4 linked regions of the Diceros bicornis minor genome follow. The protein of the gene in region 1 interacts with the protein of each later gene in a pairwise test. Links are inferred from orthologs where the notes say so. Each region holds a gene or a part of one and is shown in the gene's direction. Other genes may lie near its edges. The genes, in order: SPRY2, OTX1, HSD3B7 and UBASH3A.

Region 1 (7,112 bases):
CAAGGTCAACTCATCAGGACCACTCCACTTACTCTGGGATAACTCCAGATCTTTCCTCCAGTTTAGTTAGGGATAAAGGACATCACCAAAAAGGTTGGATGCAGAAATAAACTGTTCCCAGTTCTCCAAGCCATATAGATAAGAACTCAAGTGGTCTATTTTGAAATCCTTTGTATCTTTTACTGCAGCCCTCCCAATTCCCCCTTAGAGGTAATATCAATAGATTTTGGAAAATCAAAGCAATTCAAAAAGTGAAATGACTAGTCATGGCTGCCAACTCAAAAGGTCCATTATTGCAAAGCCCTTTAATTTAAGAAAGTCCCTCCCAGAAGAGTCCATGCATAACTTAAAGTTACTATTGCAATTAGGGTGTGAGGAGAAATAATGGTTGAAAGATCTAAATTGTTACTCTTGGAAGCAGTATACATTGTTGTGTTCAGGGCCAGCTTTAAACGTGAATACATAAATAAATTGCCTTGGTTATAAAACTAACAAAATATCCAAATAATCACTAGCTATTAATTTTTCTTTGTCTCAAGAACACATCATATCACTGCAAGATTTCTCTTCGGTTATCAAAACTGGGTCTGAACCCAGTAAGGCCAAGTGGTTTGGTCAATCTCACAAAGAAACTGAAACTAGAGTTGTTTAAAGCTACATTCTCCCTTTACTACAACATAAATCGGAAGCTTAGACGAGTAACTGCAACCTTGAAAATATCTGACTTAACTCTGCCAACGCACCTACTGGTGAAGAAGCTTGTCTACTCTGTCCCTATCAATGGCTTCTACTGAAGATTATAGCAGGCAAAATTCACATAGGTTTATACACTGCCTCATTTAAAATAAGAAATTGAGGATAACTATAGTTATAAAATGAAGTAAATCCAAATAAATGAACACAGAAAATAAAATGAAGGCAGAGATGAGATCCCAAATATATGACACACAGTGCTGTTCAATGGCTAGGACTAAGAAGGCATGTTACTGGGTGCGTCCCCAAGAACCTGGAGGTGCGTTGTGGTGCAGCACGGGTTTCCACGGATTGGTATTGTTCAACATTAGGCAAACGGCAACACTTGCTCATGCTTCAGGGTTGCCTCTCTAGAACTCTCCCCAACAGGTTTGAAAATGGGCTCCATTGTGAAGTGTTACATAACATTCTTTCATAATTCTGAAGTATCTTCCAAAATTAATCCCAGTTAGAATTTTGTAATGCATCATGAGAATAGATTTTGGAGCAAGAGCTGCACCAAACACTTCATTGCGTGTGCAGGCACACCACACACACACATAAACGTAAGTCCTCTTTGAGATTATAACTCACTAAGTAAACTTTGGAGACACACTGTAGTGCTTCACACACCACATCTGAAAAACAATAATTGCACTAAATAAAATAAATAATAAGAAGTAAATTAGAAAGAATCCAACAGATTCTTGTTTTTACCTTGTGCTTAAGTTATAAGTTAAATATTTTCCCAGACAGCAGGCTGGAGGCTGTGGGAGAATGGGGTGGGGGGGAGCTAGATTACATGGGGTACCTTCTAGCTCATGAAAGATAAATATAAATTCCTAGTTTCTTCCCTGTTGACTCAATAAAAATCTAAGGTGCCCTAACGAGCCGGAACCTCCTAATTTAAATTCCATTTTATGCTTTGATCCAGAACAACGTATCTTGGCAGAGATCCGGCAGCACCCCGAGAACAGCATGGTTCCAAGTGTCTCCTGAGAAGCAGCCATCTGCTGCAAGGGTTTGAGGAGGCGACGAGAAGGCGTTTCTTTCACCTGCTCTGCCCTAGACTTGCTGCCCGGACACTGGCAGCCCGTTCCAGAAGAGTCTTGCACAACTTTTGGCCCCCAATTCCTTCCCCTTGGTAAAAGTCGGAGTTCTTCCGAACCTGGGTACCTCATCTCTAAACAGAATGTATCCGAGGAGATGTTAGGGAAAGCTACCTGTTGTGGCGTTTATAGTATAAACGTCTTTTTATTCGTTTTGAACCAGCCGGCCTAACGTACATTTTGGAAGGCAACCTCTCCTGCCCCCGTCGAGACTGGGGAAGAAGGCAGCCCCAGCCCCGCGCTGGGCGGGCGCCCCCTGGTGGCCGGACGAGCCATAAACGCAGCCGAGCCTGCGTTCACTCGGACGCTCTAAGGACTGGCGTCGGGCGAGCGGCCCGGACCAGGGAGGCCCGGTCGTCCCGCGCCCGCAGCCCCGGGGACGCCGTGGAGCAGGCCGAGGTAGCCTGGTCTACCTTCACCCGAGGGGTGGGGGTACGTAGGCCAGCGCCCGGAAATAACGCATGCCACTTCCCCTGCCATCTCTGGTTCCAAACTCCGGGCGAGGGGGGAGAGCCCTAGATAAACATGGAGAAGGCAGGGCGACAGCGCAGCGCGGCAGGGAACGCGCCCGGGGCATTCTAGAGCGGGAGCTCGGGAGCAGGCAGCGAGTGCCAGGGTAGCTGCGTACGACATGGGCTGCAACTGGACCCGGGGAATCAAGCACCACGTTTTCCTAGCCCCGTTTCAAGAACTCTAACCTCGCACGGGGGCAAGATCGCAGGTGCTATCCGGGAGTTTTGACCCTACTTCCCTGTAAAGTAAAAACATTCTGTAAATCATTAGAATCCAGTATTAGGAGTGTGTGTGTGTGCGCGCGCGCGGGGGAGTGTTTTAATTTCCTACTGGTGCTCCCACGTGCAAGCACGTTTCTTAGCAAATGAACGGCAATTAGAGCAGTGTATTTGTATGCATTTCCTATCTTTCTATTTTTATTTTTTACGTGGGAAAATACAGTCCACTTTCAAAATGGACAATAGGATCTTCTTGAGAAATGTTCTAGGTGACAAAGAGAGTAAGAAATGAAGGATGACTCTTCTGCTTAAGTGGAGGAGAGAATCTACAGTGGAGCAGTGAGCGCCCCCCCCCAATGTCAGAAGCCCGTGATGTCGCCCTTAAGTAATCGTGCATGTGTGTATTACTGAATTAACTAATTTTAAAAAGTCTTAGATTGTAGGATTTCCTTCAGCTATTGCGTCAGACAAAACACCAAGATCTTCAAAAAGCCTCCATCTATAGCTAACTCCACTTTTAAAAATAAAATCTAATATTAAACCGAAAAACTGCAAATCGACACAATCAAAAGCAAATCCCGGCCAGAGCAGAAGGTACTTGAAACCCGAATCTGCGTTCTGTTCCTCTCGTACACGGCTCTGAGGTGGGGGAGGCGGTTTGTGCTGGTGCCTGGTGTATAATCGGGTTAATCCAGTAGACAAAGAATAAACCAATAGCCCTCCCACCTCACTTCCCGCTCCCCTTCCCCTCCCCCTTCTTCTCTCCCCGTCGCCCCCTCGAGGGGGAACAGAAAAGGGGAGAAGTGGGCTTGAAATGGATTCCGAATAAAGTCTTAAAACCTGCAACTTGTTTTTAATGCTAACACTGCACGGCCTGGATTAGTTTTAAATGTTCATTCCCTTTTCCTAGTGGCGCGGAGAAAGTTCCCTAAGTCAGCCCGAGCCTATGGCTTGTCCTCATGGCCTCTGGGGAAACCTTAAGGGCAGTGTTTCCTTGAAACTAGATAAACTGACCCGGCCGTGCCCAGCCCGGCCCCGCGGGCGCCCCGCGTGACGGCGCCCGGGCGGCAGGGCCGGCCCGGGGACGCGCGGGGCGGCGCGGTTGCCCTTTTGAATGCCTCCTGCGGCTCGGAGCGCTGGCGGGCGCTGGAGTGTGAGTGAATGTAGCCCCGCGGAGCCAATGAGCTGGGACCGGATGCGATATATCCTCTGGGACAACAACTGCTCTGTTCCGCCTCGGATCCACATGACGCCATTTACTGCTGCCGCGGCCGCCGCAGAGCTCCCTGCCTCCTCCGGAAAGGCGAGGGCGCAGGCCAACGGCGAGCCCCCCCGGCCGGGCCCCAGACCCTCCTCCTCCTCCTCCTCCTTCTCCTCCTCCGCACCCACCGCCCCCGCCTCGGCCTCGCCGCCGCGCCTCCACAACGCCCAGTCTGCACCGCCGAGAGCTGCGCGCCGCAGCGCGAGCGGACGAGAGGGGCCGGCGGAGCGCGCAGCGCCCAGGCCCCCGCGCCCGCCCGGCCCGGCCCGCAGCCCCGCGCCCACGCGCCGCCTCCGCGCGGACGCGGCCGCCGCCGCCGCACTCTGAGCCATCTGGCTGTAGTTTCTCTGTAAGGCCGTTTTCTTTTCTCATTCGCTCATCTGCCAGGAAAAGAGACTCGCGTTTGGCGCTTCGGCCTCCAGTTCATTGAGAAAAAAGAGGAAATACTCCGCGTGCGCTTCTAGAAGGGGGGTCGCCTCCAGCCCCGAACTCCGGCGGGTTCGTGGGCTGGGGACTTGGCTCTGGATTTCCCTCGCCTTTTTTCCTCCCGCCGATTGCTCGGAAGTTGGACTGAAGCAGAGTTTGGAAAGAAGGGGGAAAAAGTTTGCATCGGGGCTGGATTTATTTGCACATCGCAGGAAGAAGAGAATCCAGCAGAGAGGGGTTGGTGCAGAGCCGCGATCACGGTGAGGCGCGTTTGGCTCGTCCCCTCCTGGCGCCGTGGTCGGCGCGTTGTGGGCAACATGGAGTAGGTGCAGCCGGACCGGGAGTGGGGTCTGTCTCCCCTCGGGCCTCCCTTTCTCTAACCCCGCAGGTTCCCCTCAGGGATCCCGGGAGCTGCCCGCGGTTCTGCGTCGCCTCGAGCTTGGCCTGCCTTGGCGGGGGCTGCGGTGCGCGCCCGGTGCAGTGTCCCTGGCCCCACGACCCCACGCGCCCGCGCTCTGGGGGGCTGGGGTGGCGGACGGCTCGCACCGAGTCTACTCCCGGCCCTGCATTGGCCGCGAATTCGGCGCTGAGGACAGGAGAGGGAGGGAAAACACTGTGTTTTCCAGGTCGCCTTTGCAGGCGCCCGCGCCTCTAACCTGTTCCTCCCCGGGGAAGGCAAGTCCTGGGAGAGGCTGTCCCGGAGCAGGGGCGCCGGCGGGACCGAGGGCGCGTGGGTCGCTCGCCTCACGGGGGCAGCGAGACCCCGCGGGTGAAAAAGGGACAGGATGCCGGGTGGAGGGAGCCCCCCGCCTCTGCCCGGTGTGGACGGAGGCGAGCCCGGTGCGGGTGGGAGCGTCGCCCTGCCTGGCGCCGGGTCTCTGCGGTTCGGAAGTGCAGCGTTCTCTTTTTTCCGTTCTCCGCGGTCGGACTGGGTCAAGCTTTTTTTATTTTTGGAAGATTGGGCTGACCCAACACAGGAAGAAAGCCATCAAGCGATAGCGATCGTTTTCCATTACCTGAAAATAGGTGGCAAGAGAGGCTAGTTTTTTATTTCCTTTGATGGGCTGATCTACTTTTCTGTTGCTGTATTTTAATTCGGAATCCTGTGCATTTTTACAAAGCAGTTTCTGTGTCGGTTTGCCCCACTCTTGTGCTGAAGTCCTTTCCCCCTAATCCTTAGTCTGATCACACACTGTTCTTAATGGGGGTTTCAAAGCACTTTCAATGCGGGGGGACATGAGGGAGTGCGCGGGGGGCGGGAGGGGAGCGCGGCTGCGAAGGAGGCCAGGGATCGGCAGAAATCATTTTGGTTAAGAAAAAGATCCCCCCTCCCCCAAAGATGCTACTTTCCACTGCAAACAAATCTTCGCGGAAAGTTTCCACCCCAGGGATCTGGGTCTTGTATGCCCAGCGTGTGCAGTGGGGCCCTGTAAAATGTCTTTTCTTTAAAAAGCAATTTTTCTTTCACTTTAAGAAATATGTGTATATCTCTATATTAATATGTAGGCGTCTGCAGATTGCAGGCAATGGCCTTTTGGTCAGCGCATGGGGGAGTCGCCCAGCGTGCGTGGGTTAGACCTCGGTGTCCCGGCTGTGTGTCTAAGGCACCGGCTTCCTCGCGGCGTCGGGCTGGAGACCTCTGCCCGACGTTCGAGGGCCTTTGGCGGAACGCCCTGCAGTGGGCTGCGTGCCCTCTGCCTGGGGGTGGAGTGGCTCCCTCTTGGAGCTGGGAGGCAGTTCTCCGAGGTGGGGGAGGTTTTAGCCGGGAAGGGAGGGAGGGGGAAGTGTGCTCTAGCGTTTCAGGGCATGTCCCCTTCGGAGGCGCCCGCGCCCCCCGCCTGTCTGTCAGTCTCGGGATTGTGCGCAGGGGGGCCAGCCTGGCCTCTGGGCTGCGTCGGTCCTCCCGGAGAAAAGTCCCTCCGGGCTCCGACTGTGTCCTACCTGCTGGGGACGGTGTTGGGGCACAGATAGAACCGATAAACGGAGTGAAAGCAAAGAGCAGCGTAGTCTTGTCTGCTTTTCTGTTGGAAGTGAGATCCTGTTTCCAGCTCTGCCTTGTTTGGAGTTGGGGGGCGTGTGTCACCTGCCTGTGTCTCTCCTAAAAAGCAAAGACTGGATAAAGGTGCACTTTTTGCCCATTTTTATTCATTATAGACTTGGCGAAAGGGAGGATACTTTTGAAATTTACAGAGGAATTGCAGTTTAAGCGATTGCTTGTCAGAATGTAGATTTGAGATGACACTTAAATTTTTAAAAAACTTCCTATTATCACCAGTCAGTTTATGTTCTCAACTATTAAGTTTTTGGAAAGGAGCAAAGCAGTTAAGATTTTGACATAATTTATTTCTAACACAGGGAGAACAGTCTTTTAGCTACAGAATTTAAGATAGTCTCCTAGGCTATCAGATTATAAAATATTTGATTCTCAAGTTGTTGAAAATAAGTAAGTTCCTGTCTTGCTGCGCGTAGTGTAAGTTTGCTTTACTGTGCTCCTGGTACTAACAGGATTTAAATTGATTTGTTTTTAATACTATATAACTTGGAGCTACTATGTAGTTAATGATAATGTATCATTGTTGTAAAATTTATAACTGTTCCTTGGGTGGAGTATTTACTTTTTTGCATGTCATATTCATCCTATGGGATTTTATAAAGTACAGAATACTAGATAAATCATAGTTCAGGGTATGTGATGTAAAAGCATACAAAGTAAGAACGAAGGAAGAATTTCTAGGCTGTATTTATTGATGTTTAAGGCAAAAAGGACCGTGATAAACTTAAACTTATTTCAAATTTTGAAAAGGTATTCAACTTTTGAAAATGTTGGTAGCAATGTTGTGTTCTAACATTACT
Region 2 (7,653 bases), on another chromosome or scaffold:
GCGTTTCACTGTAAGGATAATAGAGCTCCTCTCCTCTGCTTTCTTCAGAGGATGGCTCTTTAACATAGCCTGAGACAAGTCCTGTGATTTAAAGGTGAGCTGTGAGGATGGGACTAATTGACATGCATCAGTTTACAAAGACCGTCTTATCATCTGAGAATGCGCCATCTTTTTCTCTGGATAATTATTTATTACATCTAGCTTGGTTCCTACAATTTTGTTGGGTCTCAACATTGGCTCAAGAATGCTGTTAATATTTATTCTGTATTGATAAAAGTCTGTCTTGCCACTATGAGTAAATCCCCCAATTAATATTTCCTTCTCTAGCATAGCACTGTCATTTTTTGTGAAAATGGTTATGTTTATTTATTACAATTCTGAGTCATATATAAATTTTCAATAAAAGCAGAAACTTTCTTACCTTAAACACTGCTGCTACTTCATTGCAATGAAAACTTGACACTGGTTTGAGGAGAAGGTTGTGTATCCATAAGACTTTTCATATGGAAAAAAATGGTCCTCTTGATTGCAGGGCAGGATACTGGGTTGTATTTGGAGCTGAACAAGTTTACACCATCCCAGAGGGGCCCTGCTGATACACGAATGTGAATTGAAAAACAATTAGTCATATTTTCTTAAGCATTGTAAACTATCATCTTTGGTAAAGGGTCATCTCTGTTGTTCAAGATTTGAGGAAATTTGTGATTCCACAGCACTGTAAAAGTGTTAGTATCTTGATGAATTTTCCACGTTGTTGTTTTCAGTTGTTATAATTTTGCACTCATATGAGAAAGAACTGTGACTTCTGATAACTGTAGGTGCTGAAGTGAAAGAAAGAGGGTTATTGTCGGGGGGAGGGGTTTTTGTGTGTGCAGATACATGTGTATGAGATGAGGGAAAGGGAACTTTTAACAAGAAGTTCTAGGCTACAGAAAAAACTGGCGATTTTATGGTAGTTTCCATCACTCCTCTGCAGAGGTGTCCGAAACAAAGAGAGCTCGTTCAACAAGTCTGGAGACAGAGAAGACAGTCCACCAGCATTTATACTTTAGCCTAGATCACACATACATATATACACACACATACATTTATGCAGATATATACAAACATAAATTCCGTTCGAAAAGTCTGCAGCCGCCTTCAACTGCCAGTATTTCAAAATGATAAAAACTTGCTACGGCAGAATTTCTTCATGACAAGGATTTTAAGAAGTTATTGAAAAGTTATCAGAACGAAATGAAATGGGGTATTTGCTCTCTAGGGGAAGCTCTGAGAACCCCGCTCCACCCCGAGGGAAGCCAGCAGACGGAAATCGCCAGCCCGAAGCAGCTTGGGGCTTGGGCGGCCAGCGTCATCCACCCCATTTACGCTGGATTCGGGGAACCTTCCGTCCCGAGGAGCCTCGCAGAGAGGCGGCTCCCCTAAACCTCTCCCGACCTGCCAAGTGACAAACCTTCCCTAGGCACAGATTTGCTGCCCCTCTCCTGCTCTTACTGCCCCAGGCCTGAGCCTCGCGGGGTTTCCATGTGAGCTGCTCTGTGGCGCCCGCACGCCCCGCAGCGGCGGCAGAGCGCGGACCCCCGGGACTAGCGGAGTCAGGCCCGCGGCGTCCCGATTTCGTCGCGTGGTGCCCAGAGGCTGCCTCCGGAGCGCAGGCGCGAGCTCAGCCTGCGTAGAGGCCGGGAACCCGAAAGCCCGCGCTGCGGGAATAGAAGCTGGGGGCCAGGGGCCGCCGAGGAGGAGGAGCATTGGCATCGGGCTGGCTTGGGCATAGCCCGCGGGCTGGTGCAGAACCTCCGCCCCTGGCCAGGATCCCACGGCCCCAGAGCCAAACCCCTCCCCTTGTCCCAAGTGTTCTCCAGAGTCTGGCCCGGCCTCGAGGTCACCTGGATGCTGGATCCGGGTCTTGGGGCCCAGCTCCCACGCCCCCTCCCCGGCCCCGAGACCTCGAGCTGGGTCGACATGCCCTTTCGCGATGCCCCTCTTCCCCTCCCGGCGCTGCGGCCATTGCTGGAACGGTCGCGGCTTCTAGCCCAGAGTCTCCCACCTGGACATTTGCCTAGCGACGGCCGCCTCAGTCCTCTACGCTGTGTACAAGAAACTTTCATCTCAGTGTCTCTCCCTCTCTACTCTCCCCCCTCTCCCCTCTCCTCTCTCTCTTTCTTCTCTTAATCCCGGGGTTTTATGGGTTGAGCATTAAGAAAATTCGCCTGCAATTTGGGATTAGATAAATACTCTCATTAGGGGGGAAAAATCGTGCTGCTTGATACCTCCCAACTTCCCCGAGACCGTGGCAGCATCTGGAACCGAGAGCGCCGGACTCCCGCGCGGCGGGCCCTGGGGACCTCCTGGGCACATTCCAGCGCGCACACCCGCCCCACCTCGCCGCGCCGGACCTCGACCCGGCGCTGCGCTGCAGGCGAAACGGCCCGGAGGAAGCAGGAGCGCAAGAGATTGCGGGACTGGGACAAGGGCGCGCACCCCGGCAACGGAGGGCTAAGAACCCAGGCACACAGAGCGCAGGCCCAGGCAGGGGCAGCGCGGAGCTGGGGACGCAGACGCTGCGGAAGCGCCCCCCGGGACGCCCACACCCTGGTCCCCTCTAAACTAGTGAGCTCCAGCCCGCGCCTTTCCCCGCAGCTGAAGGCGGGGGTGTATTTCGTTTCTTTCTTTAAACCTCTGCACCGTCCCGGGGGCTCCGAGCCGCGGGCCGCGCCGGCCATTCCCCACGGGGGCCTGCGCGAGCCTAACGAGCGTTCCCGTCCGGGTCAGCGCTGCGCTCTGCGCAGTTTCTTTTCCTGTTAAAGCTTTTTCTTTCTCATGTTTTTCCTTTTCTCTCGTTTTTTTATTGTTTTTTCTCTCTCTCTTTCATTCCCTTTTGTGACTGGGCCGCGGTGTCTTTGTTCTCGAGAGAAGCACCCGTGTCGCTGACTTTTGTGAACCAGAGAAGGGTCTTGTAAAACCTCCTTTTCTCCTTCATACTCCTCCACTCCCACCCCTCCTTCTTTGCCCCTTTGATTAGATGTTCCCTCATCGTCCAAAAAAAAAAAAATGTAATTTCGTTGGTCTGGCGGCCACTTTCTTTGAACATTAGCTCGCTTTCAGCTCCCAACTTCAATTAGAAGGAGTTGATTTTGAGAGATCAACAAAAGAACCGACCAAAGCCTTATTAAAGGTCCTAAGAAGATCTCCCGAGTCCTTTGAGAAGCAGTTAAGGAAACAGTGTGCCCTCCATCATATTCTGTTACCGTATTTTATTCGGACTCCAAAGGAAAGTGTCGCTTGGGGGAGGGGGAAGCACTTTGATGAGCGGCGGCCGCGGCCCCTTTTCACTCAGCGGGCTCTCCTGCCTTCTCCTCCTCCGCCTCGCCCAGCGCCCGGTCCGCTCTCGGTCCCGACCCCACGGCCCCGGCAGCGCCGGCGCTCCCCACCGCGATGCGCCTGGCGGCTCCTTGACTCGCCCTCACACTTACTCCTGTTCAAAGTTTTCACTCCGCCTGTTGGGGTGGAGGGGAGGGGGGATTAGGAAGAAGGGGTAGGAATTCCTCGAAAGGGAATGAAGTCGTGCCTAATATTCAGGAGGAGGTGCCATTTAAAAGAATTGCGTTGCTCAGTGTTGGGGCGAAAAACTTTTTTGCGCTTTGAAAAGTCTACCCAGGTAGACGTGTTGGAGAAGTTGTTCTGTTGGAAAATGGGCTTTGCCAGTACGAACAATCCGGGGAAAGCGCCTCAAGGAGGCTCCTGCGGCATGTGGAAAAGAAATTGAGGGTAGCGGTCTGTGGCCACGTTTTCCAGCAGACTGTCCTGGTAGGAGGAGACCGGGAAGGAGACAGAGAGACAGTGTGAAAGAGAAAGTTTCCTATCAAAATCTTTCGATTCAGAAGTAGAGTGTGTGTGTGTAAGGGGGAGGGGACGCCGGGCTCCAACGTTTCAGAAGAAGCGTTTACAATTTGCAAGCACCCTTCGTAGGGGCTGGGAACCCCAAGAGACGCCGAGGAGCAGGTAAGGGGTGGTGCCTCTCCTGCGGGTGCTGTTCCCGGACGCGGGAGTCCAGAGGCGCCAAGGCGGGATCTGCGCACCCGGAGCCGCTCCCGCGCTCGGCACAGTAGCCTGTGCCAGCACGAGCCGCCCGCGGCGTCCGTCTGCAGGTGGTGGCGCGGTGGAGGAAGACGCTGGGGCCCGCGGCGCCGCGAGAGGGGCCGGGGCCCCCTCTCCTGCAGCCGCGGCTGCGGAGTCCTCGCGTCCACAACCGGGCCGCCGAGCCGAGTGGCGCTCGAGAGAGCGAGGGAACCGGTTCTCCGGCACCGCGCCTCCTGTCTGCCACTCCCTCCCGGGCGCCGAAAGGGCGAGAGAAGGGCGGGGGCCCCGGGACGGCCTCGGGACCGGCGTCCCCCTCCGCGGCCGAGGCTCGGGCGCTGCGCTCGCCTGCCTCGCCTCGCTCTGCGAGGCGTTTGCCAGCCAAACCCCGGAGTTAGCGCGCGACCGGGGCGGGGCGGGCGGGCGGCGAGGGCGGGGTGCAGGGGGCGGAGGAGGGCGGGGGCGCGCGGAGGTAACCCCCGGCTCGTGCTGCCATTGCCCGGCTCCCTGTCACTCAGCCCGCGCGGGCCCCGGGATTGGCAGCCTAGCCCGGTTACGCACTCACCTCGCGTTCACATACCCGGGGAGGGCAGTAGAAAGGTGATCAATCTTCATCAGGCTACGTTTCCAATCACCTAAACAACCGGGCGAGACAAGCCACTCCGACAAGGTAAATCGCTTGATTTATTTAGTTTGCAAAGTGCTTCTGCAGGACCTCCCCAGCCCCCACCGCCTCCACGTCGTACCGGGAGTGCAACGGCAACCGCGAGCCACCTCCCAACTCTGCCCCTCTCGCCCCCCACCCTCCCCCTTGCGGCCCCTCGGCGCGGTCCTGGCAAGGTAGTGTCTTGGGTAGTGTGTAGGGCTTTGCAAACAAAGTGTCTGTGCAAAAAAGTGAAACCTGGAGGGACATGCACAAAGCCACTGAAAAGAAAGAGAAAGGAGGGAAGTTGGGGAAAGAAAGAAATCCGGGTGTCCTCGACCAACCGCCCAGCCTGGCGGGTAATTCCTGTGCAGCTCTGTTTTGCAGGTTGGCTGCCCGGCGGGTCTGTGTGAGGGCGCGAGGTAGATGGTGAGCGGCCCCGGCAGCTGAGGGCAGGTAAGGAGAAAGCCGCGGGGCCGCCCGGGACTCTAGGAACGCGTCGGTTGCTCTTGCTTTCTCCTCCTCCTCAAACGGGTCCCAGCTTCGCAGATCCCCGGCAGGTGGGCAGGGTTGGGGAGCGGCCTGGCACCCCTTTTGAGGCGCGGAGGACCCAAGAGCTCTGCTGCGGCCCCGGGCCTCCTCCCCCGCCTGCTCCGAAGTAACCGAGCTGAAGTGCTAAGTTTGAAGAAAATCTTTGAAAACTCAAGCTGCAGCCTAGCAGAGTCGCCGCAGCTTGAGTCCCATTCTCCTTCGGCCCGAGAGCCCCGGCTGTTTCCCTTTCGTCCCCTTCCCTGAAAACTGGGTTCTCCCAGCCCAGGTTGAGGGTCCCGGAGGATAGGAGAGGGGAGCGTCTTTAGCTCTAACTCCTCTCCCTGAAATCCCTGGCCCTGGTGCCAGGCCTGCTGTGACTTCCCACGAAGCGGGGTGAAGCGACAGGTCATCTGGGCCCCAGTCCCACTCCCGCAGCGCCACTTTCTGACCCTTGAGAGTAGCGCCTTAGGTGCGGGGCAACTCGGGAAGCGAGGCTTCGACCTTCCAGCCCCGGTCAGCGCGAGCTACGCCGCCGAGGCCTAGTTCTCCAGTCTCAATCGGGTCCCGGGGCCGCGGGTTCAGCGGGTAGGATAGCGAGCGCGCGGGACCTGCTGCACTTAGGCCTCCCAAATCCGCGAGACATTTTTGGGCGCTGGGCGGGTCACCTTTCAGCCCCCGCCGGGACCCGGTTGTCCGCAACTAGGACCGGGCAGAAAGAAGGCTACCGGCTTGTGTTGGCAAAGAAGGGCCTGTGGCCGTGGCTGACCTCGGGCCGCTTGATAGAACCGCCACCTCTACAGTGGCCCCTTCTGGCCGCCTCTGCCGGACCTGCGGTTGAGACGTGGTGGGATTGCGGGTGAGCAATCTTTCAACGGCTGGGCATAGAGAGGTCAGCTGGAGGGGTGGCTGCGGGCCCTGGGGCCGGGACTCAGCCACGGAGACCTTTGAAGGAATGTACTCTCCTAAGTGGGCAGTGCCTCCCGGAGAGGCCCAGGTGCTGCTAGCACCTTGGTTTTCTGGTGTCTTTTGTCCCGCTTTCAAAAACAGTTGAAACAAAACGAAACAACCCCTTGTGCTCTGGGCAGCCCGCCCGGGTGCCGTGTGAACGTTTGCTTGTGCAGTATGAGGCCGGCTCCCACCGGACTCAGAATTTTGCCTAGACTTGGGACCTTGCACACTCTGCGGTTCAGGCTCAGACCTCCCCAGCTTGGCCCTGCTTTTAACCTCTCCTCACTCCTAGCGACGCCCTGCGAGTGTCTTTGGCCCTTTCCAAGCCCGGAAAGAGGCGATGACGATCCAGAAAAGTTTACTTTTCAAAGAAGCTGTGGTCTTTGGGCTAAGGCTTTGTAGAGCTGAGTCGACTGCCCAGCGCAGTTCCGTAGCCTGGGTCCCCTCCCCATCCGGTGGCTCCTTGCCTCAGAGAAGACCAGGAAGCTGACATGGCTCCGAATGACGGTTTGTATCGTGTCTCCATAGGCCGGGCCCCCAGACGCAGCAGAGCTTGAAAGGACTGCGCGGTGGGAGACCCGCACTGCGCCCGGCCCCTGGCCCCCCTGGATCCGTCGGGGCGCCTCCACCCGGCTGTTAGCATGATGTCTTACCTCAAACAACCCCCATACGGCATGAACGGGCTGGGCCTGGCCGGGCCCGCCATGGACCTCCTGCATCCCTCCGTGGGCTATCCGGGTGAGCACCAGCCCCCACCCCAGCCCCTGCTACTTTGGGGACCCTCGGTCTCGGGTTTGAGCACACGCTTTGTTGCCCAGCAGGCCCAGGGAACCGGTTGCCTAGTCTGCTTAAAATTCAGGGCAGGCTGCAGGCTCACAGGGCCGAGTCGCGGGTCGGTGAGATGGGCCAGGGCGGCGAAAACGTTCAACGTGCGCTCTCTCGGCCGGCCACACCAGCAACCTGTATCCTGTTGTGGTCCCACTGCCAGCACGGGGCACATTTACCCACGGATTCGTTTCCCATGGGTGGCTTTTTTGGTGTGTGTGTGTGTGTGTGTGTGTGTGTATGTATGTATGTGAATCTGTTCCTTTCCCCCCAATATGGAATGCGGAATCTGGACACTCACTAGGCCCTGACAGGAGGAAACGAGCTTCCCATATGGGAAGCCACTGGCTAAGCCGAGGAAGGGGAATTCTCCTTCCTTAGTTAAATTGTCCTTTAGACCTGTCGCCTGTACCAACTTCTGCGCTGCTGATGTGGACGGCTTGGGTCGAATCCTGGCTTTCTTTTCTGGTTCCCATTCCTGCAACCGCATTTATTCCCTTGGCAAGTGTTTTCCAGGTCGTGTTTCTGCGTATCCCTTCCCCATCCTTCAGCCAGGGAGTATGTGGGAGTGGTGGTGAAGGAAGGGAGATTGTATAACCTCTCTTCCTTCCTTAACCTCTAAGCGGCAG
Region 3 (7,895 bases), on another chromosome or scaffold:
TCTCCCGCAAAGTCCCCCGGGGTGTGGAGCGGACCATTCGCAACCTGCCCCTGGACCACGCGTCTCTGGTCAAGAGTTGGCCCGAGGAGGTGTCCCGAGGAGGTCGGAGTCGGCCTGGAGGCCGAGGCCGCTCCACCGAGGAAGAAGAGGCTGAGCCAGGGACAGAAGTAGACTTGGCAGTGCTGGCCGACCTGGCCCTGACCCCAGCTCGGCGTGGGCTGGCTGCCCTGCCTACTGGCGATGACTCGGAGGCCACAGAGACATCGGACGAGGCAGATCGCGCAGGCCCCCTGCTCAGCCACATTCTCCTGGAACACAACTATGCCCTGGCCATCAAGCCCCCACCCTCCACACCAGCTCCTCGGCCCCTGGAGCCAGTTCCTGCCCCTGCAGCCCTCTTCAGCTCCCCAGCAGATGAGGTGCTAGAGGCCCCTGAGGTGGTAGTGGCTGAGGCGGAGGAGCCCAAGTCGCAGCAGCAGCAGCAGCAGCAGCAGCAAGAGGAGGGGGAGGAGGAGGAGGAAGAGGAGGAGTCAGAGTCATCTGAGAGCAGCAGCAGCAGCAGCAGTGACGGCGAGGGGGCTGTCCGGAGGCGAAGCCTCCGCTCCCACACCCGGCGCAGGAGGCCACCCCCTCCACCCCCACCCCCACCGCCCCCCACCTTCGAGCCCCGCAGTGAGTTTGAGCAGATGACCATCCTATATGACATTTGGAACTCGGGCCTGGACTTGGAGGACATGAGCTACCTGCGGCTCACATATGAGCGGCTGCTGCAGCAGACAAGCGGGGCTGACTGGCTTAACGACACCCACTGGGTCCATCACACCAATATCCTGAGCCCTAGCGGCTGGCCTTCTCAGGATAGGAAGACGGGCCCGGGGGTGGGAGTGGACTTCCGTGGGGTCACCCAGCCGGTTCCCTCCGGTTCTCCCCATCCATGTTCTCTCTGCTGTATTCAGCCTGGGTATTTCTCCTCTGGCTACCAAGCCACTCTTTTCACTGTGCTTTGTGCCTCTTTTCTGCCTCCCAGACATTTTCTGGCAGAAAAGGTGGGTCTAAGACTTAAATCTCTCTATCCTTCTGTCCTCCTCACACTGAGTGTGCTCAGGACCTCCAGCTATAAGGTCAGTCGCCCTTTCCTTGGACTGGGACTGGGCGGGACAGAGGGGAGTGGGGGCCCCAGGGGTCTGACCAGTAAGGAACCCCGTCTCTTCCTTAACACCCTGTACTCACCAACCTGAGCACTCCAAAACGCAAGCGGCGGCCCCAGGATGGGCCCCGTGAGCACCAGACAGGCTCAGCCCGCAGCGAAGGCTATTACCCCATCAGCAAGAAGGAGAAGGACAGGTACCTGGACGTGTGCCCTGTCTCGGCCCGGCAGCTGGAAGGAGCGGACACTCAGGTGAGGCTCTGCCCTCATATTTGGCATACTCTTCCCATTCTTTCTCTTGTCACTTCCCTCCTCCCTGTCCTACTTCTCACAGGGGACTAACCGTGTGCTTTCGGAGCGCCGGTCTGAGCAGCGGCGGCTGCTGAGCGCCATCGGCACCTCAGCCATCATGGACAGCGATCTCCTGAAGCTAAACCAGCTCAAGGTGAGGAGTGGAGCCTTGGGGAGGAAAGAGGCTCAGTGGAAAGGCAGCATCCAGGAGTCCCCTAGGGGTGGGGATGGTGGGGAGTGGCTAGAATACCCTCCTTCCCTGGAGGTCTGCAGGGAAGGCAAGGAGCTAGGGTTCTGGAGGGGTCCAGCAGCACAGTCTGCCTTCTGCTCTCTAGTTCCGGAAGAAGAAGCTCCGATTTGGCCGGAGCCGGATCCACGAGTGGGGTCTGTTTGCCATGGAACCCATTGCAGCTGATGAGATGGTCATCGAATACGTGGGCCAGAACATCCGCCAGGTGAGAGGCCTCATACCCAGCCCTAACCCCTGATCTGATGCAGCATGGGAAAGCTCACAGGAGAAGCATCTGACCTTCTGGATAAAGCCCCACATACCCTCCTGGCTCTACAACTTAGCCAGTGAAACCTGCCTCTTTATTTTTTTTTCCTTCCTTCCTTCAACAACTAGTAATGGGTACTAGTAAACTAGATGTTAATGATCCAGCAAGAAACAAGACTAATATTCTCTCTCCCTTTAAGGACCTCACAGTTTAGTGGGGAAGACAGGCATTGAACAAGTAACTGCAATAAAGGATGGCGTTTGGTTGATGCGAAGGAGAAGTTTGGGGAGGCAGGGGCAGTGGCAACACAGTGATGTTTAAACCGGAAGCTGAAGGATGAAGCTGAACTCGCAGGCTCAGGTGAAGGGAAGGGCCTCCCGGTTGCGGGATGGCATGTGCAAGGGCCTTGGAGGCAGGATATTCTTACAAGGGCAAGGAGGTCAGTATGGCTAGTTAAGGGCCAGTGGCAGCAACGTGAGGCTGGAGGGGCAGATGGAGGCAGGGCTTGGGAGCCACACTAATAAGTTTGGCCTGATGGTGAGAGAGGAGAGTTGCCGCAAGGCGTTGAGTAGGAGAGGACCTTGGAGGGTAGTAAGCTCCCTCTGGCTGCAGTGTGGAGAGAGAATTGGAGGCTGAGGCCAGTGGGCAGTTGTTGGAGAGATCCTGGCCAAAAGCGAGGGTGGCCTGGACGAGCCGAGGCCTCTTGGCACGAGCCTCTGTGGCAGCTGAAGTAACAGAGGAGTCTGGAGGCCCAAGGTAGCTGGCAGGACTAGGCAACAAGTTGGCTCGGGAGAGTGAGGGCAAGAGGGGAGGGGAGGCCATTTCTCAGCGTGCTGCCTTTAGCAGTTAGGGTAGTTAGGGCTGCCAGTGAGATGGGGAGCGAGGAGGAGGGAGCGGGCGGGTGGTTAAGATGAGTTCCAATCAGGACATGTGAAGTTGCAGGGCCTGGGGGACGTCTAGGAGATGACGCCCAGCAGTTCCACTGAGGTGGCTTTTGGCTGGAGACAGAAGTTTGGGAGGAGTCCCCACCACTTAGCTGGCAGTTGAAGCCCTGGAAAAGAGTGAGATCACCCAAGGAGAGAGCGCAGGGGACTTAGCATCCTGTTTTCTGGAAAATACGAGTTACTCCTTCTCACATAAGAATGAGGGCCCTAACGTGGATGCCAGTGGCAGCCAGTGGGTGTCTCTTTTGGAGAGAAGGTCCTGGGAGAAGAGATGAGTAAGGTGTGGTCCACGAAGTGGCCACTGTCATCTTGGGAACTGCCCCAGCCCCACAGCAGTCTGGGGGCTCCATGGTGAGTCAGGCAGACACTTGAGGAGGAGCCAGTGGCTGCTTCTGCCCAGTGACCAGTGCAGACTTCCTGGGGTCCTCTTTGGGTGACTTAGAATGGCAGCCAAAGGTTTAGGGTGGGGGCCGGCCCCGTGGCTTAGCTAAAGTGCGCGCGCTCCGCTGCTGGCGGCCCAGGTTCGGATCCCGGGCGTGCACCGATGCACCGCTTCTCCGGCCATGCTGAGGCCACATCCCACATGCAGCAGCTAGAAGGATGTGCGGCTATGGCATGCAGCTATCTACCGGGGCTTTGGGGGGAAAAAAAATAAATAAAATCTTTAAAAAAAAAAAAAAAGGTTTAGGGTGGGTGGCCCTAAGAGGGAGGGCTCCTGGAAGCAAAGTCAGGGGAGTCAACGTCTTGGGTTAGTGGGAGCCAAAAGGAGAGCCACAGGTCGATGTGGCCCCTGAGGTGGTAGCTGGACGACTGTCCAGATCCCCCATCATGGGGGCTGGTGGGGTCAGGCCTGGTCCAGCAGGAAGCTGAGAGGCCAGCTCCCTGACTGTGGCACCTCACCCTACTAGATGGTGGCCGACATGCGGGAGAAGCGCTATGTGCAGGAGGGCATTGGCAGTAGCTACCTGTTCCGGGTGGACCATGACACCATCATCGATGCTACCAAGTGTGGCAACCTGGCAAGGTTCATCAACCACTGCTGCACGGTGCGCCAGGGGCCAGACCAGGGCGGTGCGGGGGGTCCAAGGGGGCAGCCTCGGCTCACACTGCCCTCCCCTCCTGCAGCCCAACTGCTACGCCAAGGTGATCACCATCGAGTCCCAGAAAAAGATTGTGATTTACTCCAAGCAGCCCATCGGCGTGGATGAGGAGATCACCTACGACTACAAGTTCCCGCTGGAGGACAACAAGATCCCGTGTCTGTGCGGCACCGAGAGTTGCCGAGGCTCCCTCAACTGAGGTGGGGCAGGACTGGTGCCCACACCCCTATTTATTCCCCCTTGGGGCCCTGAGCTCCCAGCCCCCCAGCCTTAGTGGGCTCAGCAGGGCCCACGTGCCCCATCTCCAAATACGGGGTTGGAAGCCCTGAGCCCGGCGGGGAGCCTCAATCCCTTGAGGTATCGTCTGCCTCCCTGTCGCCCCTGCCCACCCACACCCTAATTTTTTTTTCTTTGCGGAGAAGAAGCTGTAAATGTTTTGTAGCTGCCAGCAGCTGTTTCCTGTGGAAACCTGGGGTGCCGGCCTGTACAGATCCTGTTCTTGGGGGCTACATAGCCCCCTTGCTTTGTGTTAATGGGGGACTTCCCCTTTGTGCCCTGCGTGCACCCCTCCCCGGTTTAGGGGTCTCTAGGGGCAGTGGCCATGTTCTCCCCCTGGGGGGGGCCCTGCGCCCCCAGTCCTGGGGACTCCGTGCCTGGAACCCTGCCTCATCTTCTGTTCCTGCCAGCACCTGTGGGTCAGCCTCCCACCCTGGTGTCTGGGAGCTCTGGCTCCGCCAGGCCTGGACGGTGGGGGGCGGGCCCTTCCTGTTGGGCTGGATTGTACATATGTTAATAGTGCAAACCCAACGCCACATTTTTATAATTGTGATTAAACTTTATTGTACAAAAGTGCTTGGTCAGTATCTTTCGGGAAGAGTAGGGAGGGATGGGGGTTGAGGAAAATGGGGAACAGAGGTGGAAATGGGTGGCCTGGAGTTTGTGGTCTGTAGAGGGGCTTTCAGGCAAGAGCCCAGACCTGCAGACTCAGCCACCATTGCTCTGGGCCACCTGATAGGTTGGAACAGCCATCCAGAAATCCCCCACCAAGGCCAGACAAGGTCAGGCCTCCTGCCCTTCCCAGAGCCACAGCTGCCTCTGAGCTTCTGGCCTCCTGGGACATCCAGCAAGAGGGAAGGACTGACATCATGCAGTGGGAGTGAGGTCACTCTGCCTGCTCCATCCTGTGGCCTGAAACCCCTCAGCACCCACCCAGCAGGTTCTGGCTTCCCGCCCCCTTCCCCCAGTTCTTGCTGGAACCAGATGCCAGTGGAGTGAAGAGTGGCCACCAGGGGGTGCCCTGTAGCAAGAGTGTAGGGGACGGAGGGGTGGAGGCTGGGCTGGTCTCTTGTTCCTGGAATGGGCCAGGAGGGAGGAGGAACAAGCGGAAGGGGATGGTGTGTTGCTGGCCGGCTGGCTCAGGCGGACGAGAAGACAGCCCCTTCGGAGGCCCATCTGGGCGCCCTGCGACTGTGGCTGCAGGTAGGCAGAGGTGATGCCAGGGCCCAGGGGTCCCTTCTAGTCCCAGCCCTGCCCACCTTCCTCAATCCTTCCTCCCCAGTTCCTGCCTCTCACCCTCCATTTTTGTCCCAGAACCTCCCCATCCACCTCAAACCCTGAGCCCTTCCTGCACACTAAGCCCTCACCCTTCTTATCTCAGTAACTGCAGCTGGCAGGGTCAGAGGGCAGGGAGCCTGACTGCTGCACCCACAGCTGCCCCTCCAGGAATAGCCCTGGCCCCTGGGTCACTGCTCCAGTCCGTAGGCCAGAGGCCCCTTCCAGGAGTAACAAGTGGGCCTCCGGTCCTGGGGCAGGTGGCGGCAAGCAACCCAGGTGAGCCAGGGTCTCTCCTCAGCTGGGCATGGCAGACTCTGCACAGGCCCAGAAGCTGGTGTACCTGGTCACAGGTGGCTGTGGCTTCCTGGGGGAGCACGTGGTGCGAATGCTGCTGCAGCGGGAACCCCGGCTCCGTGAGCTGCGGATCTTTGACCTGCACCTGGGTCCCTGGCTGGAGGAGCTGAAGACAGGTGATGGTAGTGGGGAGGAAATGGGGGGAGGGTGTGGACTCCCTTCACTGTGGTGGAAAAGATGATGCCTGTTTACTATCTCCAGGGCACATGAATGGGATGAGTGAGTCACACTGGGAACATGTGGCTCCCAAGGGTATAGGCTGAACGCAGCAGCTGGCCGATGGCCCCAGCTCTGACATTGCATCTGGCTGCCCTAACCCCTTACCAGGGCCCGTGCAGGTGACTGCCATCCAGGGGGATGTGACCCAGGCCCACGAAGTGGCAGCGGCTGTGGCTGGAGCCCATGTGGTCATCCACACAGCCGGGCTGGTGGACGTGTTTGGGAGGGCCAGTCCTGAGACCATCCATGAGGTCAACGTGCAGGGTGAGGTGCTCCCCACCAGTTCTAATAACACACTTAACACTCCCTGGCAGGTGGCCTGATCTTGGCTGTTTGTTCCCCACCCCCTCTTTGACCTTGATCTCTGTGATTCTCTGGTGACAATCTGTCCTGTGGACACCCTGCCCCTGTAACTGCAGGCTGTGACCTGCTGTAGTTTTCCCTGGACCTGGGGAAGGAAGCACATACCCTCATCCAGATTTGGGATGGGGAGGGGAAAGATGTGGAGAGAGAGGAAGCTTCAGCTTGGACACACACCCCGCCTTCCCCAGGTACACAGAACGTGATTGAGGCTTGTGTGCAGGCTGGAACACAGTTCCTGGTCTACACGAGCAGCATGGAAGTTGTGGGGCCCAACATCAAAGGCCACCCCTTCTACAGGTGAGCTGAGGTTCCCCCTAATACTGTAAGAGCTCCATCTCCCCTCAGCATTAAGAATCTTCCTTCTCCCACCACCAGGGGCAATGAGGACACCCCATATGAAGCAATACACAGACACCCCTATCCTTGCAGCAAGGCCCTAGCTGAACGGCTGGTCCTGGAAGCCAATGGAAGGAAGGTGAGACTGGAGAAGAGGAGACCTAGAGATGGGGGTGGGGAGGGCTGCCAGTCAAAGGCAGAACCAGAACCAGCTGGGCTTCTTTGCATCCTGCCCTGGGTACCTCCTTTCCATCTCCAGCTTGAGGAGGCCACGGCAGAGGGTGGGTCACTGGGTCCTAGGTCTTAGCAGTGCCTGCTTTTTGCTCCCAGGTCCGCGGGGGGCTGCCCCTGGTAACGTGTGCCCTGCGTCCCACCGGCATCTATGGTGAAGGCCACCAGATCATGAGGGACTTCTACCACCAGGGCTTGCGCCTGGGGGGTCGGCTCTTCCGGGCCGTCCCAGCCTCTGTGGAGCACGGCCGGGTCTACGTGGGTGAGGCCCGGGCTAGGCGAGGGGAGGCGAAGAATTTGCTGGGGGGTGGGCGGATGTACACTGCCTAGAAAAGGATGGTCTATACACGGGCCGGGGTAGACTGATATGTGGGCATTGTCTGCACAAGCCACAGAGAAAACAGTATCCATGCAAGTTGGGAAGGCTGACATAAAAACGTCATAAGCTGAGGAGAGGAGAGGGGCAGCATCTACACTGGACCAAAAGAAGAAGGAATAGGGTCCATACAGGCTGGCCCAGGAGAGCAAGTGGCTACAGGGGCCAGGGAGAAAGCAGCCTTTGCTAGGGCTGTAGTTATGGTGGCAGCATCTACATGGGCCGAAAGAGGGAATGGCTTGTACGTGGGCTGGCCCAGGAGAGAGCAGCATCTACATGGTCGCAAGGGCACTCGGTCATGTCCACCCCTTTCTCCACTGGCAGGCAACGTAGCCTGGATGCATGTGCTGGTGGCCCGGGAGCTGGAGCAGCGAGCGGCACTAATGGGTGGCCAGGTGTACTTCTGCTATGACAAGTCACCCTATAAGAGCTACGAGGACTTCAACATGGAGTTCCTGGGCCCCTGTGGACTGCGGCTGGTGG
Region 4 (7,536 bases), on another chromosome or scaffold:
ATGTGTTAACATGCTGGCATGTGAGTCAGATGAGGTCATAAGTCGAGCCAGTTTACCAAGGGATAGTAGGGAAAAGACCCATGAGGGTGGCTGAACTTCCACCACTATAAAGTAGCTTCTCAGAAAAACCTACAGATCAGTTCCATCAAGCTCAGTATACAATTTTAAGGAAAAAGAAATCAGCACACCTAGGGCTGGCATCTGATGTTCACCAAGCCGGAGTCTTAAGTAGTCTTGGTTTGGAGGTATGAGAAGGGGCATCCTACCCTGAGGGCTCCCCTAGGACCTGTGAAGCTTTCATAAGCACTTGCACACAGCTTCGTTCTAGGCACAGTCTCAGTCTCCACCTTGATCTCTTTAGCGAGTGATGGGAGGCTTGGGGGTCAGCCACAGGGGAAATTCTGCGTCAGGAAGCTTTAGTCTTTTTGCTGTTGGCCTTGGAAGATAACTTTTCAAGCTAAGAAAAAGGGATTAAGCTAGATAGGGCGTTTCCTGGCTTACACAAGTAAGATTTTTTTTAAAGAGAAATTTACATTTTAATATGTTATAAGCACAATTGCTGAAAAGGTAGTTTACTATTTAGAAGAGATAAATATATTTGAGTAGAGGCCGTCACTTCAGACCCAAAATCTACTTTTTTGTTGTTGTTGTTGCTGTGGAAGATTAGCCCTGAGCTAACATCTGCTTCCAACCCTTCTCTTTTTGCCCTTTTTTGTATGTCAGCCACCCCCATAGCATGGCCACTGACAGGCGAGTGGTGTAGGTTCACACCTGGGAACCAAACCCCGGCCGCCAAAGCAGAGCGCATGGAACTTAACCACTAGGCCACCAGGGCTGGCCCCTTCCCTTTCCTTTTTTAAAATCAATTTTATTGAGGTTTAATTTACACACTATCAACTGTACCCATTCTAAGTGCTCAATTCAGTCAGTCTTGAAGATCTATGCATCCATTTGGTCACCACCAAATCAGGATGTGGAACGTTTCCATCACCCCCAAAAACTCCCTCTGACCCTGGCCTGACAACCACTCATCTGCTTTCTGTCTTCATAGGTCAGTTTTACCTTTTTTAGAATTTCATTTAAATAAAATCGTACAGTATCTATATCTTGTGTTTGGCTTCCTTCAGTCAACAATGTTCTTTTAAATTCATCCATGTTCTTCTATGAATCAGTGATGTCTTCCTTTTTATTGATATATGTTATCCCACTGATTGAATACACAGTCATGCACTGCATAACGACATTTCAGTCAATGACAGACCACGTTTACGATGGTGGTCCCATAAGATTAGCACCATATAGCCTAAGTGTGTAGTAAGCTATACCATCTAGGTTTGTGTAAGTACGATTTATGATGTTTGCACAATGCTGAAATTGCCTAACGATGCATTTCTCAGAACGTATACCCAACACTGAGCAACACATGACTGTACCATAATTTTTGTATCCATTCACCAGTCTATAACAGTTGTATGTTTTTGGATTCTTTTCAATTTGGGTCTACTGTGAATGAACCCACTACAGACATTTCACATACAAGTCTTTGTGTGGTCATGCATTTTCATTTCTCCTAGGGAGATAGCTAAGAGTGGATTGGTCGTATAGTAAGAATATGTTTAACTTTATAAGACTATGTTTTCTGGAAGTGGTTGGACAATGTGTGAAAGTTCCAATTATTCCACGGTTGGTCAAAACTTGATATTGTCAGTCTTTTCAATTTTAGCTCTTCTACTAACTGTGTTGTGGTATCACATTGTGGTTTTAATTTACATTTCCCTGATGACTAATGATGTTGAATATCTTTTCACGTCTTCATTAGCCATTTGCATATCTTTAACCACTTAACCCATTTTTTAACCAGATTGCTCCTTTTCTTATTATTGATTATGAGAATATACATATATAATAGATGCAGAAATACATTATGTTATATTCTGTATATTCTGGATACAAGTCCTTTGTCAGGTATCTACGGTGATATTTTCTCCCAGTCTGTGGCTTACATTTTTATTTTCTTTATGGTGTCTGTCAAAGAGCAGAAGTTTTCAATTTTGATGAAGTCCATCTTAATTTTCTTCTTTTATGATTCATATTTTTTTGTGTCATAACAAAGCTTTCAAACTCCAGCGTAGCAAAAAATTTTCTCCTACATTTTTGTTGGAAGTTTTATAGTTTTAGCTTTTACATTTAGGTCCATCATAAATTTGAGTTAGTTTTTGTGCATGATGTGAAGTAAGGGTTGAAATTTATATTTTTCCCATAACGATATGCAGTTTTCCAGCACCGTTTGTTGAAAATATTATCCTTTCCTCTATTAAGTTACATTGGTCCCTTTGTTGGGAATCAAATGACCACATATGGGGGTCTTTCTGTGCTCTCCAATGGCACACTATGGCAACCTGATTTTTAAATTTATATGAAAAAGCAAAGAGCATAGAGGAGCCAAGACAATCTTGAAGAAGAAGACAAAATCAGAGGACTTAACGCTATAGTAATTAAAACAGTGTAGTATGGGCACAAAAATGGACAAATCCAATAAGAGAACATAATGGAGTCAGAAACAGACTAATACATATACAGTCACCTGATTTATAATGAACATTCTACTGTATTCACTGGGCAAAGAATGGTCTTTTCATTGAACACAGGTATGGGGAAAGAAATGAACATAAACCCCTACCTCACCCCATACAAAGAATTAATTCAAATGGACCATAGAGCTAAATATGAACAGTAAAAGTAGTAAAGCCTCAAAAAGAAAATGTAGGAGACAATCTTCATCAATGTTGGGTTAACAATGATTTCTTGAACAAGATGCAGAAAGTTCAAACCATAAAAGAAAAGATTGATAAATTAGTTTTCATTCAAATTAAGAAATTTCGTTTCACTCAAAGACATTATTAAGAGATTAAAAAAGCAAACCACAGCCTGGAAGAAGTTATTACCATTAAATGCATCCAACAAAAGACTTATCTCCAGAGTTCCCACAAATTGATAAGAAAAAGCAAACAACCCAATTTTTTAAAAGGCAGATGCTTTGAACAGGCCCTTCCCCAAAGAGGTTCTTCAAATGGCCAATAGGCTGTCTCGTGGTGCTCAATGTCATTGCCATTCAGGGAAACGCAAATTAGAACCACAGTGAGATACCACTACACACACCTAGATTGGCTAAAACTAAAAAGACTGACAGTATCAAGTATGGATAAGGATGCAGAGCAGGTGAAACTCGCATCCACTGCTGGCGAGAGGGCAAATTGGAACGACTGCTTTGTAAAACTGCTTGGCAGTTTTTAATGAAGTCTGCACATATCCTATGACCCCCAAATCCCACTCCGAGGTGTGTACCCAGCAGAAATGCATACATTGGGCATTAAAAGATGTATACAAGAACATCCACAGCAGCAAAATAACTGAAACACACCCAAATGTACATCAACAGAGAAATGGAGAAATAAAGTATGGTGCATTTATCTGATAGAATGTTACACAGCAATACAGGGAACTAACTACAGCTACAAGCAACAATGTGGATAAATTTCACACACGTGATTTTAGGCAAAAGAAACCAGACACGAAAGAGTACATGCTGTACGGTTCTATTTATATAAGTTTCAAAAATACGCAAAATTAATGTGCAAGTGTGTACAGCGGTTACCTTTTGGGGTGAGAGAGGAGACAACTAGGAAGCTGGGTGGGGGCTGAGAGCAGGGGTGCTTCTGAGGTTCTGGTAATGTTCTCAAGCAGAGTTTCTCAACCCTGATGCTATTGACATTTTGGGCTGGATCCTTCTTTGCTCTCGTGTGCACTGCAACATTCCTGGGTTCAATCTGCTAGATGCCAGTAGCAAGCATCCCCTCCAGTTGTGACAACCAAAAATGTCTCCAGACACTGCCAGCGGTCCCCGGGGATGGAGGCCAATATCCTCTGGTTGAGGACCACTGTTTAATTGCTGGTCCTGGGAAGGTTAGGTGTGTGTGCTCACTTTATGAAGATTCATTGAGCTGTACACATATGATTTGTCAACTTTTCTGCACGCATATTAAACTTTAAAAGTTTTTAAAATCAAAAAAAACGTCAATGAATAACTAAAGAAACCCAAAATTTCAGAGCTAGCAGGGAAAATAGATACAGCGTAGTTTAATGTCTTGCTTGCAGATAAGGAGACTAGATCCAGGGTCGCTTGGGGTTCTACAGTCAGTGGGACCTGGTAGAGAACACTTGCCCCTGGTTCCACTCCCTCGTCCTGCCCCCTCGCTCTCCCTCTCTTGCAGACTTGCTCCCCAATGCAGCCCACGTCAGTGCAAAGGCTTGGTTGGACCTCCGGATCCCAAACCGCGCTGTGGAAAGAGGCTTGGTGGATATTGCACCCCAGCACCCCACAAAGAGATTTTTGAAAACCAGTATCTCATGCAAACAGGATATTAGCTTTTGTTAGAAAGATCAAAAAAGGCTTGAGGTTTTTCTTCACAGCTTCAGACTCTCTTGCCTCTCCCTCTCTGGCTTTATCTACTCATTTCAGCCTGCAGGCAGGAAGACATGGCAGCCGGGGAGACTCAGCTCTACGCCAAGATCTCCAACAAGCTCAAGGGCCGCAGCACCCCCGCCCTCCTGGACTCCCTCCTGGGGATGGGCTTCCCGGCACACACCGCGTGAGTACTGCCCTGGCTAGGGGAGCCTGCGACCCCCGAGCCTGACCCTTCCGTGGCTCCTCTGTGAAACTGCAGGCAGCTCCGAGCACCAGCTTCCTGTCGAAGGGGTACACCACGCAGGATGAGACACTGTCTCAAAATAAGACCCTTTTCTGCTTTTTATAAATAACTTGATCTTTCTTTTTAAAGACAAACTCAGCTGGTTGATGGGGGGGACACTGAAATTTGTGAAAATTAGAAACCAAGTATTACCATGGCAGCCCCATTTTTCAGAGTTTGGAGGAGCTTGGGGCCTGGTTGTACCGTCTCTGTGAGCAGCTCGGCGACTCTGAGACGACATTTCAAACTCTAATTTGAAAGATCCCAGAGCCCAGTGAGTCTCTATTGCTGGGACCTGTTGAGATGGGACTGTGTTTCTAAACAGTGCAGGAAAACCATTAGTGCTTAGGGAAAATCTCTTGAATGTCTGAAAACGAAACAAAATGATGAAGAAACTACCGGAAGAGTGTCAGCACAATCCTACTCACCCAGGAAAAACGTCCACACGGAAGATTTTAACCTTAGGAGTTACCCCTCTCAGAGAGTGGAGAAATCCCCAAAATCAATGACTATGATCCTGACCCTGGGTTACAGCTTCCACGGGAAATTGATTGCTTAGTTCTGGTCCTTTTCACATGCTTATTCATATGGGAAAATACATCAGAAGTCCCCTTAGGTAACCTTGGATTTGAGAGCGGGGCAAACCTTCCTTAAACATTGTAACAAAAATCCTGACCCAAGTGGATGAAATAACTTTGAAGCTAGACCCCTTGCACCTCCAATCCAATTCAGGACTCGGTCGTCACCACTATGTTCATAATAATCCGGGGGTCTGTGCAGTGGGAATGGAAGCAAGCACGAGCAGAGTGCCTGCCGTGTGCTGGGCACCGTCCTGGGCATCGTCCAACAGGTGCAGATGGGGACACTGAGGCCAGAGAGAGCAGGACAGGAACCCTATTCTCGGTGCCTCTAGAGCCCAGGCTTTATTACATCAATGAAGCTGTAGTGTGGACGCATACCCAAAATTCCTTCTAGTTTAAACCTTAGCCGTATGCTGGGGGTAGAGAAACATGTTTAAACTTCTCCCTTAGGCTGGAGCACCCCAGGGAAGCCTGGAGCCAAGGCCTCCCTGTTAAAACCCATCCAGGTGGCCACATCCCGTCGGTATTGGGCGGCACCGTACTGGGTTCCTCAACAATTCCAGCCACTTCCGGGCCGACTCCCTGAATGCATTACCTTAGCCGGGTTTCACTCTGTACAATTTGGAGGTTCAGTTCAATTCAATTCAATATATTTACATCCAGTTACAATGATAAGTAAGACATCGTTAGGCCTAGGGACATCATGGTCTGGTAGGGGAGGCAAACGGACACGAGTTCAATGAGATGAGAAGCAAGGTGACCACACGTGTGGTGGGGAAACACAGGAGGGGCTGCACGTCCACCCTGCTTGGGCGGTTCGGGGAGGACTTCCTGGTGGAGGGACGTGTAAACAATCATAGAAGACCCAGGGCCATGTCTTTGAGGGCATGTCAGCACAGGGCCGCATTTTGGCAGGGAGGCACGTGTGCAAGCCGAGGATATGACCCATCATAGCCAGTGGGTCCACCTGGCTTGGGTGCAGGGTGCATGGGGGAGGGTGGAGCAGATGGGGTTGCAGGCATGGGTGGACCTCAGGGCATGAGCCCTTGGTCTCGGTGCCAAGGACTGCAGGGAGGGATCCCCAGAAGGAAAATGAGCAGGGGTGGTGTGAGCAGGTCTGCATTTTCAAAAACCACAGTGATGCCTCTCGGAGGACAGAGGCCTGGACACTCAAGCTGCCAGCTGCAGAGTCTAGCAGTCCAGCCCCTCCAGGTCCTGATATGTCCGATACGAAGGTCCGACAAGTTGTAGGGCTGCCCCTGCTTCTCTCATCCCTTCCCTGAGAATGCAAGGCAGGCTTCTGAATGCTCCTTGCCTTCTGCTTCCCTACAGGCTAAAGGCATTGGCAGCGACCGGAAGAAAGACAGTGGAAGAGGCATCGGACTGGTGAGTGGGGCTGGCTTTGCAGACGTGGAGCGTTTGGATTGAGGTGCCCGTGCTTTGAGGACTCTGCGGGATGGACACTGGGAAGTGCCCAGTGCGCTCTGGGCGGGGCAGGGGCCACCTCCACGCCTACCCACCCAGCACCAAGGGAAGGGAATAAAGAGCTCACATTTAAAATGTAAAATGAAAAAGAGACAACCGTGCACAAGGCTTTCTTCACTTAAAAATCTGATTTAATTCAAATGTGACTGTCAAAGAAGAAAAAAATGCATGTGATTTGTTGAGTACAGAGGGCAGAGCCATTTTTTGCTGATGTGAAAGAGAGGTCACCACTCTCAGGTTATGTCTGACAGGAAGAGAATTTACCGGTGGTTGTGAATGCCCCCAAAGGCATCGGCATGGTGCACCGGAGCGGGTGCCGGGTGGTTGGGGGGACGGGGTAAGGGGCTCTGAGCTCAGGGTGGCCCCTCCATCCACCAGCTACTCGACTCTACAAGCCGCCCACTGCTATGGACTGCGGCTTTCTGCTCTGGAAATCAAAGAGAGGGCACCCCCTTTTCTAAAACCCAGTCCCGCCTGAATGTGCCATGATGCCATCGTTCTGTCCTCAGGTGGGAAGTCCCCTAACACTCTGCCCCTGAAAAGCCGCAGTGAAAATCAAACAAAAAAACCGGGTCCCGCCAGGCTGGGGTGCCCTCCCCAGAGCGGGTGGAAATGCTGCCCGTGGGTCTCCGGGTGTCCAGCACGTCCTCAGTGGGAACCCCCTTCCTCCTCCAGAAACCCTAGGCTGAGGGTAAAATAAGTAACCTGTCTACAGGACGAAG

What was found.
Region 2: the proteins of SPRY2 (region 1) and OTX1 interact in binary tests that used the Homo sapiens proteins (3 or more experiments, as listed by UniProt). The two-hybrid records come from large-scale screens. The link is inferred for Diceros bicornis minor from reciprocal best matches to the Homo sapiens genes SPRY2 and OTX1.
Region 3: the proteins of SPRY2 (region 1) and HSD3B7 interact in binary tests that used the Homo sapiens proteins (3 or more experiments, as listed by UniProt). The two-hybrid records come from large-scale screens. The link is inferred for Diceros bicornis minor from reciprocal best matches to the Homo sapiens genes SPRY2 and HSD3B7.
Region 4: the proteins of SPRY2 (region 1) and UBASH3A interact in binary tests that used the Homo sapiens proteins (3 or more experiments, as listed by UniProt). The two-hybrid records come from large-scale screens. The link is inferred for Diceros bicornis minor from reciprocal best matches to the Homo sapiens genes SPRY2 and UBASH3A.

What each region holds. Positions count from the first base shown.
Region 1 is NC_080748.1:59,266,624-59,273,735, reverse strand, and holds the start of SPRY2 (protein sprouty homolog 2), read left to right. Parts: upstream 1-4,112; 5' UTR 4,113-4,519; intron 4,520-7,112.
Region 2 is NC_080751.1:24,466,464-24,474,116, reverse strand, and holds the start of OTX1 (homeobox protein OTX1), read left to right. Parts: upstream 1-4,645; 5' UTR 4,646-4,747; intron 4,748-5,081; exon of another isoform or gene 5,082-5,094; 5' UTR 5,095-5,176; intron 5,177-5,420; exon of another isoform or gene 5,421-6,107; intron 6,108-6,727; 5' UTR 6,728-6,840; coding exon 6,841-6,937; intron 6,938-7,653. UniProt on the Homo sapiens protein: Probably plays a role in the development of the brain and the sense organs. Can bind to the BCD target sequence (BTS): 5'-TCTAATCCC-3'.
Region 3 is NC_080765.1:21,026,784-21,034,678, reverse strand, and holds the start of HSD3B7 (3 beta-hydroxysteroid dehydrogenase type 7), read left to right. Parts: upstream 1-4,879; 5' UTR 4,880-5,335; coding exon 5,336-5,458; intron 5,459-5,636; exon of another isoform or gene 5,637-5,831; coding exon 5,832-6,003; intron 6,004-6,214; coding exon 6,215-6,370; intron 6,371-6,657; coding exon 6,658-6,766; intron 6,767-6,844; coding exon 6,845-6,944; intron 6,945-7,135; coding exon 7,136-7,298; intron 7,299-7,736; coding exon 7,737-7,895. Other genes in the region: histone-lysine N-methyltransferase SETD1A, read left to right, coding at 1-825, 1,227-1,399, 1,482-1,592, 1,774-1,893, 3,788-3,925, 4,005-4,178. UniProt on the Homo sapiens protein: The 3-beta-HSD enzymatic system plays a crucial role in the biosynthesis of all classes of hormonal steroids. HSD VII is active against four 7-alpha-hydroxylated sterols. Does not metabolize several different C(19/21) steroids as substrates.
Region 4 is NC_080766.1:42,106,087-42,113,622, forward strand, and holds the start of UBASH3A (ubiquitin-associated and SH3 domain-containing protein A), read left to right. Parts: upstream 1-4,528; 5' UTR 4,529-4,536; coding exon 4,537-4,649; intron 4,650-6,661; coding exon 6,662-6,715; intron 6,716-7,536. UniProt on the Homo sapiens protein: Interferes with CBL-mediated down-regulation and degradation of receptor-type tyrosine kinases. Promotes accumulation of activated target receptors, such as T-cell receptors, EGFR and PDGFRB, on the cell surface.